Linked DNA regions of Caenorhabditis elegans. The protein of the gene in region 2 interacts with the protein of the main gene of each other region in a pairwise test. Each region holds a gene or a part of one and is shown on either strand. Other genes may lie near its edges. The genes, in order: dyf-3 and osm-12.

Region 1 (5,179 bases), on a different chromosome or scaffold from region 2:
TTTAAGATTTTCCGATTTTTTTGCCTGAGAACTTTTCTGGGATCTTCCGAGTTGTTTGGCTAAAAAAATCTGAAATTTCAAAAATTTTCAGAATTCCATTTGGGTTTTTTGTAATTTTTGGCCAGAAAGTTTCTGAAAAAAAATCAGAAAAATCAGAAATTTTGTGGAATTTTCACAAAAAATTGTAGTTTTTTAAAAACTATTTTTCTGCAATAACCTAAAATATATTTCCAGGTTATGGCTCAAGCTCATCTCCTCCACAGTACTCTCAATCGGCATCGTCGACCGCAACGTATTCCACGTCATCACCTAGTAGTAATAGTAAAACCTCGAGTTTTAGGTACCGAGTGGATCCCGCCGAGATTGCCGTTATGCTTTTTTGAATTTTTTGACGATCTCTAATTGTTTTGTTGAATTGTAAATATGTAATAAAAAGGTGCATTTATTTTCTGGGGTTAATAAAAACTTAAGGGTTTTGCAAAAAAAACACAAGAAGAAGCTCAGAAGTCGTCTCCACTGCTCAAGTCGCTTTTCGCGTCGTCGGCCACGTGGGCGGTGGTGATCTGAAAATCGATAATTTTAGTTTCCACGGGTACGCGCTTCTGGTTTAGATTACGACCAGGCAAAGCTTAAGGCCAGAAATCGCGGGAAACTTAATTTTCACTGGAGTGACGTCACAGCCTTTTTTCTGAAGCTCATACACCGACAGGGTGTTGTTGGCCTGTCTGCGGGGTACGGTAGGTTGCCGTCACAGGAGGCATTTGTAAAAAATGTGACGTCACAACGCATCCTAGTGGAAGTTTCTGAACTTCCAAAGATCTAGCAGCTAAATCCACCTGACCATGAGGAGACGATCATCTACCCTCCCAAGCACCTTATCACTCACCCCGACCATATAATCCGCCTCGCTTCTCTCCTCATCCTCCTCCTGCCGATGAAGTTCTCTCTTGTGATGCTGCGCGACATTATCATCCATCCTGATGATCTCATCATCCTCGTCATCCTCATCGTCCTCATCATCATCAGAGGCATCACCACCCATCATGTTACCGTACACCTTGCGAACAGCTGGAAATGGTTAATAAACCTGTGGAGCTGATAGAACTTAACACTTACACTGCCTCCTGTCCACCAAGGGGGCGTCGGAGCCGTCGTCGTCGTGGAGTCCGATGCTGAAATAAGGATGTCAGTCGGAAGTTCTAAACTTCCATGAAAACTCACGCATCCTTCTTCTCCTGCTCCAGCCGCATTTTCTCAACGGCCATCCTCATCGCCTTCTCCAGCTCCTCCTGCCGTTGCCGCTCGGACCTCGCCAAGTCATCATGAACTTTTCGCAGATAGGACAGGTTGCGGAAGTTCAGCACGTAGACCTGGAAGCTTAGGCTTCACAGGGCAGCTCGGTATCCGGTGTCTTACCTCATAAAGTTTCTTCAGTCGCTCCTCAAACCGCTCGTACTCGTCCATATACTGAGGTCGGAAGGACTGTAGCTTTGCGAATCTTTTTTGCAACTGCTCGTACTCTCGCTTCTTTCGCTCTATCTTCTCGTCGAGCTCTGCCTCATCGCTGGCCACGTTGTTCAGCTTGTTCTGAAAATTTGAGAGGTTAGCTGGGGAGCCTGCACCTAACCTAATTGTAAGTGACTCAGACCCTCCGGGCTTTAAGAACAATCACGTGGGTTCGAGTGGAGTGGGTGTTGCTTCAAGCCAGTTAGGCTAATTCAGTCTATTCCTTCAGCTCCAAGATCCTCAGCGGACTCCTCGAGGCTAGGGGTCTCTGAGCTTCTGGAGAAGATGCACAGGCCCGGTCTAGTGGCTTGAAGCCCTGCATATACCACTAGAGTTCAGGTAATGAAGCTTCAAAGTCTGAATCAAAGTTCAAGTCACTCTTTGACCAAGCCCACGCCATTAGAAGAAGTCCAAGCTTTTTACTGTCCGCTTCACAATCAGGATCGAGCCAGGCCAATCTCTCAAACTCTAAGACGCCAGAGCTCAAACCTACGCCACCAGGAGCTCCGTGACCCGTCAAGCTTACCGATAGCTGCTCAGTCTCCTGAGCGATGTTCTGCACTGTTGCCTGCAGCACCTTCTCGGCCTCAGCAAGTGGTACCGCCCGTGACGCGGCTCTCTCGTGTTGCTGAGATATGAACTCCTGCCGGGACAGCAGCTCACTGAGCAGGGCACCTGTTTCCGGGAGTTGTGATGATAGCTGACGAGTGATTCGGACCTCCTGCATCTGAACTTTCGACAGTTTTTTCAGGCTTTTTCAGGCTGGTGGCCTGTGAGACCCACCTTCGACGAGAGCTTATTCTTGACTTGGGTCCATTTTGGCGAGTTATCAGTGTTCGGGTCCTCTGCCTTGGCCTGGTAGAGGATCTTCATGGCCGGTAGGAGTTCCTGCACCGCATGACCATCAGCCTGGTACAACTTTTTTGGATTCATCTTGATTCTCGAATTTTGGAGCATCAGGAGTACCGCGTTCTTGATGAAAGCGACCCGATCAGCTTCTGTTTGGACTTCGTGTGCGTCAAGGTTGGATTCGGGCTCAAATCTGGAATTTTTGGGCTTAGAGTAGGCTTGGAAGTTAGTGGCCAAAGTTTCTATATTTTTCGGCCAACGATTTTTTTCACTGGGAAACTAACTTTTTCACGATCCATTCCAGCAATTCAGCCACCAGCTGAAAATTTGGGGTCCGGAAATTCTCAATTGACATCAAGCGAGGGTATCGGAGGCTTCGCGTCATCTCACACAGGTCTGAAGTTGGCGAAATTTGGGACTAGAATCCGAACTCGGCCATGATTTTGTAAAATTCAATTTTAAGTGTATTTTGGGTCTTTTTTTTGCGTTTTATGGTTTAGAAACATTTCTCACCTAGATTTTAATGCAACACTTATTTTTTCCATATGAAAATCTCAAAGTTCAAATTTAAAATTAAAAAAGCCTTAAAAACTTACTTCTCAGCTCACGATACGACATTTTTCGTGCAGAATTCAATTGAAACTTCTCTTCTCAACAATTGCCTGCCTATTCCCCCATTCAATATTTCCTCCGTTCCCATAGAAACTCCCTGCAAACACCCCAAAGACTACGGTCGACGAGCTTCTGCAGCTCAACCGGCGTTTTGTACGCAAACACCGCGACGCCATATTGCACACATTTTTCGAGAGGAGCGCCGCGCGCATTTTCTCCGAGTTTTGTTTGCTTTTTTGCGCATCTTTCATTGATTTTTTATTAAAATCGGGGGAAATATGGTTTAAATTATCGATTTCCGCCTGTTTTAGTGGTGAAAATGTGAAAAATCGTAGTGAAAAACCCTAGAAACCAGTAAAATTCTATTTGGAAGGGTTTTGGTCTAAATTTTGAGTTTTTAGCATTAAAACAATATGCTCAGCAGAAAAACTAATGAAAATGTGAGAATTTTGAATCAAAATACCTAAATTTTTTAAAAAATCCTAGTTTTTCTCTATTTTTCTCAAAATTTCCGGCAAAAGCCTCAAAATTTCAATTAATTTCCGGTTTTTCAGGTAATCCCCGGTCGAAATGGCTCTGAGAAAGTGTGGAAACCTGTTCGTGGCTCGTCTCGCTGGCACCTCGACCAGAGCGGCTTCCAGTGAGTAGAAATTGCAAAAAATGAATGGAAAAAAAACGAAAAAATCGCTGATTACCGGCTAAAAATGAAGAATTGAACGGAAAAAACGAATTTTAACCTAAAAAAGCATAAAAATCGCCAATTTTTTCAGCAATGACCGTCCGTGACGCCCTAAATCAGGCTATGGACGAGGAAATCAAACGTGACGACCGAGTTTTCCTGATGGGAGAAGAAGTTGCTCAGTACGACGGAGCTTACAAGATTTCCAAGGGATTGTGGAAGAAGCACGGTGATAAGCGAGTCGTCGACACTCCAATTACTGAAATGGGATTCGCTGGTACGGGAAATCACGCTGGAAATCGAGAAAAATCGAGAAATGTTGACTCGGAACGTCAAAATCACTAATAAATCCCCAAAAACAGCACCATTTTTTCGAAAAGAAAGTGTCCAAATTTACTTTAATTTTGGATCTTTTCTCTCAAAAGTTCAGTTTTTACACTAAAAATTGGATTTTTCGAACAAATTTCGGAAATTTTCCTAAAAACAATTAATTTTCGGCATTTTTTATTGAAAATTTCAATATTCACTGCAAAAAGCTCGGAAATTACGGAGTTTTGATATTTTTCGCAGAAAATTCCGGTTTTATCAAAATTTTGTCGAAAATTAAGCTGAAAAATCACATTTTTTATATAAAAATCAGATTTTTCCCAATGTTATTTGCAGAAAAGCTCTAAGACCGCGCAAATTCAATTTTTCAGCAAAAATTGTCTAAAAAGCTCGAATTTTCGCATTTTTCTCGATTTATTCAATTTTTAGCAAAATTTTTTCAGAAAAAACTGAAAATTCCTCCAAAAAAATCACATTTTTTTCAGGAATCGCCGTCGGTGCTGCCTTCGCCGGGCTCCGTCCAATTTGCGAGTTCATGACATTCAATTTTTCCATGCAAGCCATCGATCAGATTATTAATTCAGCCGCAAAAACATATTATATGTCCGCCGGAAGGGTACGGTCTTGGCAATGTGCCACGTTTTCTGGAAATTGCGATTTTCAGCGAAAAAATAGCCGAAAAATTGAAGATTTTCACCAAATTTTTGACTAATTCGTGAGAAATCACGCTTTCTGCTATTTTTAGAACGAAATTCCTCGGTTTACACTGATTTTTCAGGAAAAAGTCAATTTCTGATACAAAAAATGCGATTTTTCTAGATTTTTGACTGAAAATCAGGGTTTTTCTGAAATTTCTACACAAATTTTACCTCAACAGAGCTGATTTTAGCTTTAAAATCCGATTTTTCTCGACTTTTCACTGAAAATTTCATTTTTTCAGCCATTTTCGTTGAATTTATGCTGAAAAATCATGTTTTTCACATGGTCTCACGCCATTTTGATAAGAAAAAATTTGTAAAAATCATCAACTGATAAGAATTCTTATCACTGAACACTTTCTGATCAGTGAATTTTATCAGAAATTGGAAATTTTTTTTCGGAAAATCGGTCCAAAACTGAGAAAATATAGGGAATTTATAACTTTTAAAGTTTTTTTTTCTTGTTTTTTTTTCTGAAAACACCGCTTTTCCAAGAAAAATACCGGAG
Region 2 (5,037 bases):
AAAAATTCCTTATTTTTTGTATTTTTTAATACAAAAAATTCCAAAAAATCCTTCAAAAATCGTAAAGAATTCCGAAAGGTACTTTAAAAAATTTCAAAAAAATATTCCAAAAAATATTCCAAATATCCTTAAAAATTCCGAAAAATCCTTTTAAAAAAATTTCCAAAAATCCTTTAAAAATTCCGTTTTGTCGATTTACGAGATTTCAGGGGATTGTTTTCGAATTTTTTAACATAAATATTCGGAATCAGGCGCAAATTTAGAGTAATTTAAAAGTATTTCCCTGAAAAGTTCAAAAATATTCTTTTTTTTCAGTAACAACTCCTGCTGCTCCGGCTCAAGAATCTACAGAAAGTTCCGCCGCTCAAAAACGTGAATTCCTGCCTGAACACGACGAGGATGAAGCCCAGGATCCGAAAAGACCACGTCTTGAATGATTTTTTTTTCTAAAATTAATATTTGATTTTCTAAAAATGATCTCCCTTTTTTTTTAAACGATTATATATTGTTAACCCGTTCCATTTTATTGAAAAAGTTTGACTTTTTTATTCAATAAATTTTTGTTTTTTTTTTAAAATTAGATCAACCCCTGAAATTTGCAGTTTGCAGGAATTAAAAAAGAGGTGATTTTGCAAGTGTGTGTCGATTTACGACAGAATTTTGTACTACACGTGGACAAGCGCGAAAGATTTTTTCGTCGGCAAATTGCCGATTTGTCGGAAATTTTCGATTCCCGCGAATTGCCGATTTGCCAGAAATTTTCAATTCCGGCAGTTTGCAGATTTGCCGGATCATTACAGTTCCGGCAAATTCCCGTTTTGCCGGAAGTTTTCAATTCCGGCAATTTGCCAATTTGCCAGAAATTTTCAATTCCGGCAAATTGCCGATTTGCCGGAAATTTTCATTATCGGAAAATTGCCGATTTGCCGGAAATTTTTGATTCCAGCGAATTGCCGTTTTGCCGATTTGCCGTAAATGTTCAATTCCGACAATTTGCCGATTTGTCGGAAGTTTTCAATTCCGGCAATTTGCCAATTTGCCGGAAGTTTTCAATTCCGGCAGTTTGCTGATTAGCCAGAAATTTTCAATTCCGGCAACTTGCCAATTTGCTGGAAATTTTCAATTCCGGCAAATTGCGTATTTGCCGGAAATTTTCATTTTCGGCAAATTGCCGATTTGCCGCAAATTTGCTGATTTGCCAGGAATTTTCAATTCCGGCAATTTGCCGATTTGCCGGAAATTTTCATTTTCGGAAAATTGCCGACTTGCCGGAAATTTTTGATTCCAGCGAATTGCCGTTTTGCCGATTTGCCGTAAATGTTCAATTCCGACAATTTGCCGATTTGTCGGAAATTTTCGATTCCCGCGAATTGCCGATTTGCCAGAAATTTTCAATTCTGGCAGTTTGCAGATTTGCCGGATCATTACAGTTCCGGCAAATTCCCGTTTTGCCAGAAATTTTCAATTCCGGCAGTTTGCAGATTTGCCGGAAATTTTCAATTCCTGTTTTTTTAAATTATTTTTTGAATTTTGGTGGTCACCAAGTTTGTAGTATAGCTTTTAGATGACATACGTCTCATGTGAAATTAAAAAAAAAAACGGCAAATTCGGCAAATTTGCCCAGCTTGGTAATTTCGGCAAATTTGCCGCAGTGCACTGTTTTTTAGACTCGGTCATTATGGCCCATTTCCTAAGCAAATACCTACTACAATCTTTTTCAAACACCTCGCTTCTCACCCGTCACCCCAATGAGCCACCTGACCCCTCTCCAGCTCATGTTGCCATAGTAACTCGACAACACCAGCGACTCGGCGGTTCCTAGTTCTCCATTTATTGAAATCTTGGATTTTCTGCTCACATTTCTCTCAGCTTCCACTGTAAAAAATGCAAAATTATTCGAGAACTGATTTCGCTCAAGTCGGCACTACTAATCGGGGTTGCATGCGTGTTATTCCGTCGGATAAGGAGAAAGAACACGATTTGGTAAGGGTTTTTTTAAATACTTTAAGCATGTATCAGATATATACACGGGCTTCTAGCCTTCCTCTTTGAATTTTTCGCGCTCCATTGACAATCACCCCCGCCGCACAACGTGTACTCCACACGGACAAATACATATAGTTTTACAATCGAGCCGCGACGCGACACGCAACGCGCCGTAAATCTACCCCAGATATGGCCTGGCTTAGTTAGGCAAACTCTTCCATTTAAATTTATGAGGGAGGCCAGAGATACGTGAAAGTTAAAAAAAACCAATTTGATGTTTGCAGATAGTAGTCGGTGGACAGAACGGAAGCTTAATCTGTTTATCGAGAAAATCGAATGACACCACGGTGAGTAAATTTTTTATGATTTTTTCCAGACAGTTTCAGATTTTTCTGGTGGAGTACACATGCTATGTAGTTTTCTAAAACAGGCGTGGGAAACAAATGCCGTTCGGCAAATCGGCAAATTGCCGGTTTGCCGATTTGCCGGATATCAATTTCCCGGAAGATTTTAGAGGGATAAGACGGAAACACTTAAAATTGTGCCTTTTTTAAAGTTTTTTCGGTTTTCTTTAGACATTTTCATATGTAGAATTTGCTTATTTTTCAAAATAGATGTAGAAACATTCATAGGATGCGTACAATTTTGCCCTTTACAACTGAAATTCTGAAATTTCCAAAAAAGAAAAAATCGGCAAGTCGGCAAATTGCCGGTATATCGGTTCTACCCAGTTTCTACCCATTGTCGCACATTTTCGTACTTCTAGCAATTTTTGTACTTTTTACGAAAATATTCGGGAAATGCACGAAGCGATTTGCCGAGATATGCCGAACTTGCCGGAAATTTGAAAAATGGCAATTTGCCGACTTTGCTGTTTGCCAAAAAAGCTCAATTTTGGCTACTTGTCGATTTGCCGGAACTTTTAAATTCCGAAACTTTGCCCGTTTGAAGAGATGCTGGGAATTTTCAATTCCGGCAAATTTCCGAATTTCCGATTTTTGCCGGATTTTAATTTAAAAATTTCCAGATAATATTCAAAACTCAACCAGGATACCCTGTTCAATCGTTGGCTCTCGGTGGCCCGGCATCGTCGAAAAAAAAGGATAAAATCTTTGTCGCATCACAAAATACGGTTCGAGGAGTCAATCGAAAAGGAAAAACATTTTTTTCGATGGAAACTAATATGGCTGAAGTTGCGAATCGAATGTTCGTACGTGGATTGGATGTGGTTTTGACTGGACGAAAAAGTTACAGTAGATATCATGACACGGTGGATTCGAATGTAGGTTTTTGCACCACCCGTTGGTCATAACCAGATTTTGTTTCTGTTGATGAAAAATAACATTATTTTTTTTTGAATTTTTTAAAACAATATTTCGGAAATTCGAATAATAGAAAAACGAAAATGTTTCAACATTTTCCAACACCCTTTTTGGTGTGTAGCAAATTTTAACGTTTGCCGTGCTCGCCAAGTTCGGCAAATTTGGCAAATTTGCCGCGCACCTCTGGTGCACATCGCTAAACTAACTGTGGTTAAGCTCTTTACCATTCAAATTTGAGTTTAATATTTAACTTAAAAAAGAAAAATTGATCTCCAAGCATTGAACAACTGCCCTTTTTTTAGAATATAATAGTTTCGAATATTTCCAGAAAAATAATTTTTTTCTGCCCAAATTTTTGCCCAAAAGATGACAGAAAAATGAAAATGGGCAAAAATAAAAAGTTGTCTAAATTTGTTTAAAAAAAGTAATTTATATATGGAGAATTCAGAAAATCTAGGTTTAACCCGTCAAAAATCATTAGAAAGTGGCAAAAATGGACAATTTACGGCAAAAAACGCAATTTTGAAACTAATCTAAAATGGTTAATTTTGTAGTTAGAGGACTCAAAATTGATCTCCGAACGCTAAAAAATTGCCCTTTTTCAGAATATAGTGGTTTTGTACATTTCCAGAAAAATCTTTTTTTTTGCCCAAATTTTTGCCCAAAAGATGGCAGAAAAATGAAAATGGGCAAAAATAAAAAGTTGTCTAAATTTGTTGAAAACGGGTAATTCATATACGTAGAATTCAGAAAAACTAGGTTCAACCCATCAAAAACTAATAAAAAGTGGCAAAAATGACAATTTATGGCAAAAAATGACAATTTTGAAAGTCCTCTAAAATGGTTATTTTTGTAGTTAGAGGACTCAAAATTGATGCCAGAACCCTAAAAATTTGCCCTTTTCCTATTTCTAATAATTTCCAAAAAAATATTTTTTTGCCCGAAAAAAATTGGGCAGTCATTAGATGGCAGAAAAATGAAAATGGGCAAAAATAAAAAGTTGTCTAAATTAGTTGAACACGGGTAATTCGTATATGGAGAATTCAGAAAATCTAGGTTTAACACATCAAAAACCATGAGAATGTGGCAAAAATGGACAATTTATGGCAAAAATTCACAATTTTGAAACTGTTCTAAAATGGCCAATTTTGTAGTAAGAGAGAACTCAAAATTGATCTACGAACAAATTCCAGAGTTATCTTTGCACGGAAGACATTCATGATGTTGTAAGCCTTGTATTCGAAGAAGCATGGGGGAGTCGAGAATACACTTCAATTCTCGCATGTGGTAACTCAACTCTTCAAATCATTGAAGGCAACAACTTCGCCTATGATGTCCGACTCGATAGTGTTCCATTCACAGTTTCCCTTTTTATGGGCGATGGTGGTCATACGAAGCTTTTGGTTCTTTACGGAACAAAAACTGGCAGGCTGGGACTTGTTAGTGTACCTCAAGGCGGTGGAAAGATCCTATGGGAAATTGATACAACGTCGGGAGCTTGTGTCACAACAATTGTGTGCTTCAATGTGACTGGCGGACAATTTCCGGATATTATTGTGGGAAAAGAAGATGGATTGATTGAGATTTACGTTATTGATGAAACTGATCATGCACATTTATTCGGAACTTTTGTAGGCTTTTGTTGAAGTTGCAAAATTCTTATGAAAAAAAAGGTGTTTTCAGTCTTGTGACGAGTCGATAACTGGAATATCGTGCGGTCATGTATCTT

What was found.
Region 1: the proteins of osm-12 (region 2) and dyf-3 interact in a two-hybrid assay, tested with the Caenorhabditis elegans proteins (one large-scale study listed by BioGRID).

Annotation. Positions count from the first base shown.
Region 1 is NC_003282.8:3,396,151-3,401,329, forward strand, and holds dyf-3 (Clusterin-associated protein 1 homolog), read right to left. Parts: upstream 2,974-5,179; coding exon 2,952-2,973; intron 2,752-2,951; coding exon 2,640-2,751; intron 2,549-2,639; coding exon 2,290-2,548; intron 2,234-2,289; coding exon 2,033-2,233; intron 1,588-2,032; coding exon 1,417-1,587; intron 1,371-1,416; coding exon 1,222-1,370; intron 1,173-1,221; coding exon 1,117-1,172; intron 1,069-1,116; coding exon 887-1,068; intron 564-886; coding exon 501-563; downstream 1-500. Other genes in the region: C04C3.14 (uncharacterized protein), read left to right, coding at 235-292, 341-383; pdhb-1 (Pyruvate dehydrogenase E1 component subunit beta, mitochondrial), read left to right, coding at 3,538-3,607, 3,738-3,923, 4,459-4,589.
Region 2 is NC_003281.10:12,199,298-12,204,334, reverse strand, and holds the start of osm-12 (BBSome complex member bbs-7), read left to right. Parts: upstream 1-1,797; 5' UTR 1,798-1,884; coding exon 1,885-1,983; intron 1,984-2,270; coding exon 2,271-2,333; intron 2,334-3,013; coding exon 3,014-3,268; intron 3,269-4,501; coding exon 4,502-4,939; intron 4,940-4,991; coding exon 4,992-5,037. Other genes in the region: Y75B8A.13 (titin), read left to right, coding at 316-437. UniProt on the Caenorhabditis elegans protein: Component of the BBSome complex. The BBSome complex is thought to function as a coat complex required for sorting of specific membrane proteins to the primary cilia.